Macaca fascicularis: one gene and its partner. The protein of the gene in region 1 interacts with the protein of each later gene in a biochemical or structural test. Links are inferred from orthologs where the notes say so. Each region holds a gene or a part of one and is shown on either strand. Other genes may lie near its edges.

Region 1 (4,495 bases):
CAGTAGGTGCTGTTTACATATCTGCTGCATAAATGAATCTAGGTAGGGCTGGCATTCTCATGATTCTGATTTTGCACAAAAGAAAGCAAAGGCTCAGAAGACAGAAGTATTTATAAATTGTGCCCTGCCTCTCTGCCTGCATAAAGGGTGCAAGGCTGTCTCAGAGCAGCTGGGATCCACGCCACAGGTGGCGCAGCTAGCAAACGACTGACTCAGCATTTCCTTCTAGCTCTGCGAATGCAGAAGCAACTCTTTGCTTAGCTGTGACTGAGAAAATGCCCTTCCCTAGGGGAAAAGAAACACGTTTTCCTGCACAAGCCAGTCTATAATTCCAAAGCACTTTCCCTCCAGGTGCTGGTAGGTGACTGAGATATGGTCGAATCTAGACCAAGTCATAAAATCACTGATATCCACAGTGCGGACATATCCACTAGATGCCACTGCCAAGTTAAAGAGAGCTGAATCCTAATCGTGAGGTTTTGAGGGGAGATGTGTGACTTTTTCAGAGAGATTAAATGTAGCATTAAACATCCTCTGTAATAAACCGTAATTTTCTTGGGATTGGACAGGAAGGGCAACAAGCCCTGGAGATAGCTTTCCTCCGGGGTTGTCACCTTGGATGCTGGATCTGTCACAGAAAAGGAAAAGTCTCCTGGCCTATGGACTTCAGGACACAAACAGTTGTATCTTGTGCTTCTCACAGCACAATCTAGTGCTATAATGCACCGATGGCATCTTTGTTGAATGCATGCTCCTGTACATGAACCGCCTAGGAGGGATGATAGCGTGAGCTGAGCCATAACTTGGAGAGAGCTTCGAAAGAGAAAGGCATTCTCTTCTCCTCTGCTCTGCATCAGTTGTTCTCTAGGCTGATTTTCAGGTCGGGACTGAAAAAAGAGGTGTGAAAGATAAAGCTTGCCAAAAAGGTCTTTTACTTGATATATACTATGACTTAGTGTTCACATTGGGTTAGGGTTATTATTTCAATTTCTCTTAAAAAATTGACACAACTAAGGCTCAGAGAAGTTAAGTGTTTTATCTGAGGTCACACAGCAAGCATGTGCCTGGGCTCAGGTCTCTCTGAGCCTGAGCCCTTGCTTATGCTTCCTCCCCTGCACATTCTGGGATAATCTCTCTCTCTCTCTCTCTCTCTCTCTCTCTCAACTCCCAGAGACCAGACTCTGACAGGATCCTGAGGGATTTCTGCCAGGGAGTTGCCATCTCTGGAAGCCCCCACCCCCATGCCGGGCGAATCTTTTTTTCTGTGGAGTGCGGGCCTGGAGCTAGGTGAGGCCTGAGCCTCCATTTCAGGGGCTTTCTGTAGAATCTGTTGCTGCTGTTGCCTCCAGTAGAGTCTGTTTCAGGAAGAGGTTTGCCTGCCTGCGCGGGACAGCGGTGCCATTCATCACTGCAGGAGGGCAGAATCCGGGGTTGGGGGCCGCACGTCGAGAGGGGAGGGGCCAGGGGGCGGCCCCCTTGTGACCAGCCCTGAGGAGAGGTCAGGAGAGAAGGCTGGCTGAGGAGCGCCTGGACAGCAGCAGTTGCTGACGTTCTATATCACGCGCCTGGGGCCCAAGGTAACCCAGACCTTTAAACAAACCGCCGGGCTGGGGGCGTTGCGGGGGCAGGAGAGGGAAAAGGGAGCGGGGACTTCGGGGATCGCCCGAGGATGGTGGTGGCCTTAGAGGTGGCAAATGCCTGAAGGGAGGGAGTAGTAATCCGAATTCTAGGAGAAATCGTAGGAATTGAAGTCGCAGAAGCAAGAAAAGGGGTGTGAGAGCACAAGAGCGAAAAAGCGTGAGAGGGCGCAAGAGCTGGGCGGAACGAAAGTGCGCTGAGGGGCAACGGCTTAGAGTGGAACACACCGGGTCACAGAAGTATAGATAAGGTAGGAGCAGAGGGACACTTTCTTCCTCTGAGTTCATTTTCCAAAAGTGCGTCCTTTCAGCCATTTTTGAGAGAAAATGTTGACCCAAGTGTTTTTTAGGATACAGGGAAAGAACGTCAGAGGAAGCTGCACCAAAGCGAGGCTGCGCAGGGCGCAAAAAAGCAGACAGAGGGTGGCGCCTTTTTTAAAGAAGTTTCCATCCTTTCTGTCCTAAAGCTCAGGCCGTTCCCCACCCCCACCGCTCGCTAGCCTTCTGTTCCCAGTCCCCTGGCCCCTGCACGATCTGAGCGTCTTTAAAGCAGGTAACCGCCTCGGTCTCCCCATCAGCTCCAGGGGCCTCTCAGTTGAGTGGGTGGAGCCGGCAGCGGCCGCGGGCTGAGCTCAAGGGCCGATGGGAGGGGTCCTGGGGGCGCTAACTGCGCACTGCGGCCATGACGCTGGGCAGATCATTCACAGAAGTCTGTCTCGTTTCATCTACAGTCGCAGCTCGTTTCCAGACGCCTTGCTTCTCAGGTCGAGCAGTGATCTGATGGCCCAGGTTCCAGAAACTTCTTTGCCCTCCGGCTCTGGGGCCCGCTGGATCTCCGGAGGTGGGGGAGGAGCCTCTCCTGAGGAGGCGGTTGAGAAGGCGGGGAAAATGGAGGCGGCGGCGGGGGCGACGAAGGCGTCTTCGGGACGGGAAGCTGAGGAGATGAAGCTGGAGCCATTACAGGAGCCTAAGCCCGTGCCGGAGGAGAACTTGACGTGGACCAGCAGCGGCGGCGACGAGAAGGTGCTCCCTTCAATCCCCCTTCGCTGTCACAGCAGCTCCTCGCCCGTTTGCCCGCGCCGCAAGCCCCGCCCTCGGCCCCAGCCCCGGGCCCGCTCCCGCAGCCAGCCTGGGCTGTCGGCCCCACCCCCGCCTCCGGCCCGGCCCCCGCCCCCGCCGCCACCCCCGCCCCCATCCGCACCGCGGCCCAGGGCCTGGCGTGGATCCCGGCGCAGATCCCGACCTGGGTCCAGGCCTCAGACACGGAGAAGCTGCTCTGGTGACCTAGACGGGTCGGGGGATCCTGGCGGCTTAGGGGACTGGTTGCTGGAGGTCGACTTTGGTCAGGGTCCCACAGGTTGCTCTCATGTGGAGAGCTTTAAAGTAGGTAAGAACTGGCAGAAGAACCTGAGGCTGATCTACCAGCGTTTCGTTTGGAGTGGGACCCCAGAGACTAGGAAACGTAAAGCAAAGTCATGCATCTGTCATGTATGTAGTACCCATATGAATAGACTCCACTCTTGTCTCTCCTGTGTCTTTTTTGGCTGCTTCACTGAGAAACATATTCACAAACATGCAGAAACAAAGCAGCACCATTTAGCTGTAGACGTTTATCATGGGGTCATATATTGCTTCATGTGTAAGGATTATGTATATGACAAAGACATAGAACAGATTGCCAAAGAAACAAAAGAAAAAATTTTGAGATTAACTTCCACCTCAACAGATGTTTCTCATCAACAGTTTATGACATCAGGGACTGAAGACAAGCAATCAACCTGTGAGACAAAGGAACAGGAGCCAAAATTGGTGAAACCCAAGAAAAAGAGAAGAAAAAAGTCAGTCTATACTGTAGGCCTGAGAGGGCTAATCAATCTTGGGAACACTTGTTTTATGAATTGTATTGTTCAGGCACTTACCCATATTCCTCTACTGAAAGATTTCTTCCTCTCTGACAAGCACAAATGTATAATGACAAGCCCCAGCTTGTGTCTGGTCTGTGAAATGTCTTCGCTTTTTCATGCTATGTACTCTGGGAGCCGAACTCCTCACATTCCCTATAAGTTACTGCATCTGATATGGATCCATGCAGAACATTTAGCAGGGTACAGGCAGCAGGATGCCCATGAGTTCCTTATTGCAATATTAGATGTGCTGCATAGACACAGCAAAGATGATAGTGGTGTGCAGGAGGCCAATAACCCCAACTGCTGTAACTGCATCATAGACCAAATCTTTACAGGTGGCCTGCAATCAGATGTCACATGTCAAGCCTGCCATAGTGTTTCCACCACCATAGACCCATGCTGGGACATCAGTTTGGACTTGCCTGGCTCTTGTGCCACATTCGATTCCCAGAACCCAGAGAGGGCTGATGGCACAGTGAGCAGGGATGACCACATACCAGGAATCCCCTCACTCACAGACTGCCTACAGTGGTTTACAAGGCCAGAGCACCTAGGAAGCAGTGCCAAAATCAAATGCAATAGTTGCCAAAGCTACCAGGAGTCTACTAAACAGCTTACAATGAAAAAATTACCCATTGTGGCTTGTTTTCATCTCAAGCGGTTTGAGCATGTAGGCAAACAGAGGCGAAAGATTAATACCTTTATCTCCTTTCCCTTGGAGCTGGACATGACTCCGTTTTTGGCCTCCACTAAAGAGAGCAGAATGAAAGAAGGCCAGCCACCAGCAGATTGTGTGCCCAATGAGAATAAGTATTCCTTGTTTGCAGTGATTAATCACCATGGAACTTTGGAAAGTGGCCACTATACCAGCTTTATCCGGCAACAAAAGGACCAGTGGTTCAGCTGTGATGATGCCATCATCACCAAGGCTACCATTGAGGACTTACTTTA
Region 2 (3,815 bases), on another chromosome or scaffold:
CTGGTGGTGAAAGCAGAAGATGCCATTATAAAAACAAACTCCAAAATATTTAATGAGCATGAAAACCAATTCTATGATGATTTTTCCAGTGGGTGCAAACGTGGTAGGATTTACATATAAACTGTGGGTCAGACTAAGGTCAGGAAGGAGCTGTGATAAATATGGGGACCAGTAATGTGAGGAAATATAACAGGTGTTGGAAACAATTTAGTTTGCAAGGTAGCAAACTAAAAGGTAGAATGTGTATTTTGTTGGCCCTTGAGAATCATACTGTGACTAACAAGCATTTTCAAGCCTTACTAACTTATTTATTCAACAAACATTTGCATTTCTTTTATATGTGAGGCCCTCTTCTGGGTGTTAAAGGCACAGTAGTGAAAAAAAAAGTCCCTGATAGTAGGGACCATACATTAGTAGATTATATAAAACAGAAATAAAATAATATGTACTATGAAGAAAAATACAGCAGGATAAGAGGATAGAAAATGATGAAAGCTGCTAGGTTTCACAGAGAAGGGAGACTTTTCTGAGAATGGGACATCTGAATACAGTTAAGAAGCCAGTCATGGAATATTGGAGAAGGGCATTCCAGTCAGAGGAAACAGTGAAACGTAAGAAAGCCTTGAGGCCAGAACCTGCCGGGCACACCCTGAGAACAGCAGAGGCCAGTGTGAAAGGGAGAAAGGTAAGGCCAGAGAGGCGCTGGGGGCTACATATTATAGGCCGATTTGTAGGCTAAGATAAAGACTTTGGATTGTATTCTCAAGTGCAGTGGGGAAGCCTGCCAAGGATCCTGGAATTTTTAATTTTTATTTTTAGGGGAACACTGACTGTTGGATGATAGATAAGAGAGACAAGAACGGAAGCAGGGAGAACATTTAGAGGCTTTTGCTGTAATCTAGGCCAGAGAGTTTGGTGGCAGACAGATAAATAAGATTGTTGGCTTCAGAATATGTTCATATGCTTGCTGATGGATTGGGTGAGGGTATATGAGTAAGAGGGTAATCAAGAATAACTCCAAAGTTTAAGGCCTAAGCTATAACCAAATAAATGAGAGTGCTATTCACAGAGATGGGAAATACTAGAGAAGGGGCTGGCTTGTAGGAGGGAAATTAAGAGTTTGGTGTTAATCATGTAAAGTTTCATATCTCTATCACCTTCCAACTGGCAATATCAAAGAAGCAGTAGGTTGTAAAAGTCTGGAGTTAAGGGGAGAGGTTTAGAGATAAAAATTTGGGAGTTGTCACCATATATTTGGTATTTTAAGTCATGGGTTTTAATGAAGTGGGACCTGATTCAAAGTAAGTACTAATTCTCTTTCCTTCCTGTATAAAAGGCAAAGGAAGGGAGATTCCAGTTGGGAGAGCATGAAGCAGTAGTTGAGTTAAGCCGTTAAAGGATGGGTAGAATCTTAGTAGTCAAAATTATGGGAAAACACAGTGAAGGAGTAAGGAATTACGTAAGCCAAAGCCAAAAGATAAAGAGGAGCAATATGTGTGCAGGAAACCATGGCTCGCAAATGACTGAGACATGGACTTGTCATAAAAAACTGGTGAAAAATCATCTTGGAAACTCAGGGACTAAAATCTTGGAATCTATAGACTCAGAATCTTTATTGAGGGATTAGTGGAGATCCTTCAGCGGTTTATGAGCAGGAGTTGATAGAATTCAATTCAAGCAGTGCTTTTGTAAGATTAATCTAGGTGTGAAGAATACATTTGAAATATGTGAAAATGGGAATTTGATAAACCAGACAGAAAGCTATTATAATAATCCCCATTTGGCTGAAAAAAACTAGAAGTATCTTTTTAATCATCAAAGTACATTTTTGGAAATATCAAATGGAAAAGACAGGATAAAGTACAGGGAAAAGCCTGTCTTCTCTTCAGGACCTTGTTCTATTGAGTGAGTTTTAAACAGGTTATTCAGTATTTGTGGATGTGATTTCTATATCTATAAATTGGAATGCAAACAAATTAACCTCTAGTTCCTAGCAAAGTATATATTACTTTATTTTTGCTAATTTTGAATATTGCTTAATAAAGGATGAACTCTTTAGATACTTTAGATACTTTAGATACTTTAGAAAGTTGATATTTTTCTGTATCAAATTCTGTCCCCACTGTCACTATCCTTTTTGGTAATAATTTCAAGAGTTACATTTTTGTGACTGCTACAACTGCTAGTAATTTCAAGAGGTAGATTTTTGTGACTGCTGCAATTTGAGGTCTTTAAGGAACAAAACAACCATCAGGCTCACAAAAATGTTACTCTTAGCAGATTGGATGTTCTTTAGTCTAAAAATCTTTTGCTTTACAAATAAAATACCAATTCTTTTCTTACAGAGACATGTGACGCAGTCTGGGTGTAATCGTAAATTCAAGTGCACTGAGTGTGGAAAAGCTTTCAAATACAAACACCACCTAAAAGAGCACTTAAGAATTCACAGTGGTAAATATTTTTTTTCTTTCTACACCCTGAATATCAGCATATGTGGTAATAAATAAATATCGTAACATGTGATCTACGTACATGATCAGAAACTCCTTGCATTTCTTTTGGCATACACTAATAGGGAGAAATTGTATGTTTATTTTCTGTTTTATTAGAGTCTTAACCTTTGATTAAAGTATATCAAATTAATATAGTATGACATACTCCACATTTCCTAATGAGAAGATAATATAGCATGTTTTAGTAAGTACAACCTGAAAACACGTTAACTTTCTGATGAATGTAAATGTCATTGCCTCCTTTGCACAATTAACAGGGGAATGGAAAAGAGTATAGAGATACGATTTGCACAAGAAAATAGGGAAGTGAAGGATGTCCTTTATTTGAGAGAAGTAGAAATGGAACTCAAGATTAGAAAATATTGGAGAGATGATATGGAGGCAATGAGAGGGGGTGAAAGGATTACAGCATTAATGAGAATCTAAAAGAAAAATGTGCTCACCCACCATCTTCACCTGTCTATTCCATGTCATTCTCTATATTACTTACAAGGTTAATACTATTATGTGATGAAAGTGTTGTGTCTATTTTAGGAACTCAGAGTAAACAGAGAGCTATGTTTACATTTCTTTGGAGACTCTACTTGAACAAAAGCACAAAAGGAAAACTCTCTAGCATCCCATGATGCGCTATGAAATCTGTTCATCTAATAAATTTTGATATGTTATTTTAGATTTAAATAATTTTAATGCAAAAATTATTAACCATGAATGGGAAATTATGGGTGCTCACACATTGCTTATTTTGTGAAAATTATGTATTGACATTTACATTTTACAAACATCTTCTTACAAAAAAAGTATAGTTGGATAGCTTTGTGAAGCGTAGTTGGTGATATGTATGTTTTATTTTGGAACTGCATTTCTAAAAGTTTTACTGTATTGCTCATTAAAGCTAACCCTCAGTGTTAAATGTGCTGAAGTTACCACTTGAAAATGCTCAAACCAAGATCCTTACCAAAACATTTATTTTCACACATTGATTAATGTTTCTAAAAAGTAGAGGTTGTCTTTTGCAGCCTGCCACAATATCCTATTTCTTAGCTCCTATGCTATTGAACAGTTTTTATCAATAATAATATATTTTAACAACCTACCTTCTTACCAGAGATGATTTAAAGTTGTTAATAGAGATATAGCTAATTTCAAGAGGGATTTTTAAATGTTGAAATCAGGGCAGAGGAAGGAAGATAAAGCTAACAGTAAGATTCATGTATATAATGAGTCATATTCATTTTGTCATAGTGCAGTCGTAGAGGAAAATTTATCAGATCTATAAATAATACAAAGTTGGGAAGTATA

What was found.
Region 2: the proteins of USP51 (region 1) and ZEB1 form a complex in vitro, tested with the Homo sapiens proteins (2 studies listed by BioGRID). The link is inferred for Macaca fascicularis from reciprocal best matches to the Homo sapiens genes USP51 and ZEB1.

The regions. Positions count from the first base shown.
Region 1 is NC_088395.1:55,607,331-55,611,825, forward strand, and holds the start of USP51 (ubiquitin carboxyl-terminal hydrolase 51), read left to right. Parts: upstream 1-1,518; 5' UTR 1,519-1,577; exon of another isoform or gene 1,578-2,104; 5' UTR 2,105-2,279; coding exon 2,280-4,495.
Region 2 is NC_088383.1:32,244,435-32,248,249, forward strand, and holds part of ZEB1 (zinc finger E-box-binding homeobox 1), read left to right. Parts: intron 1-2,345; coding exon 2,346-2,451; intron 2,452-3,815. UniProt on the Homo sapiens protein: Acts as a transcriptional repressor. Inhibits interleukin-2 (IL-2) gene expression. Enhances or represses the promoter activity of the ATP1A1 gene depending on the quantity of cDNA and on the cell type.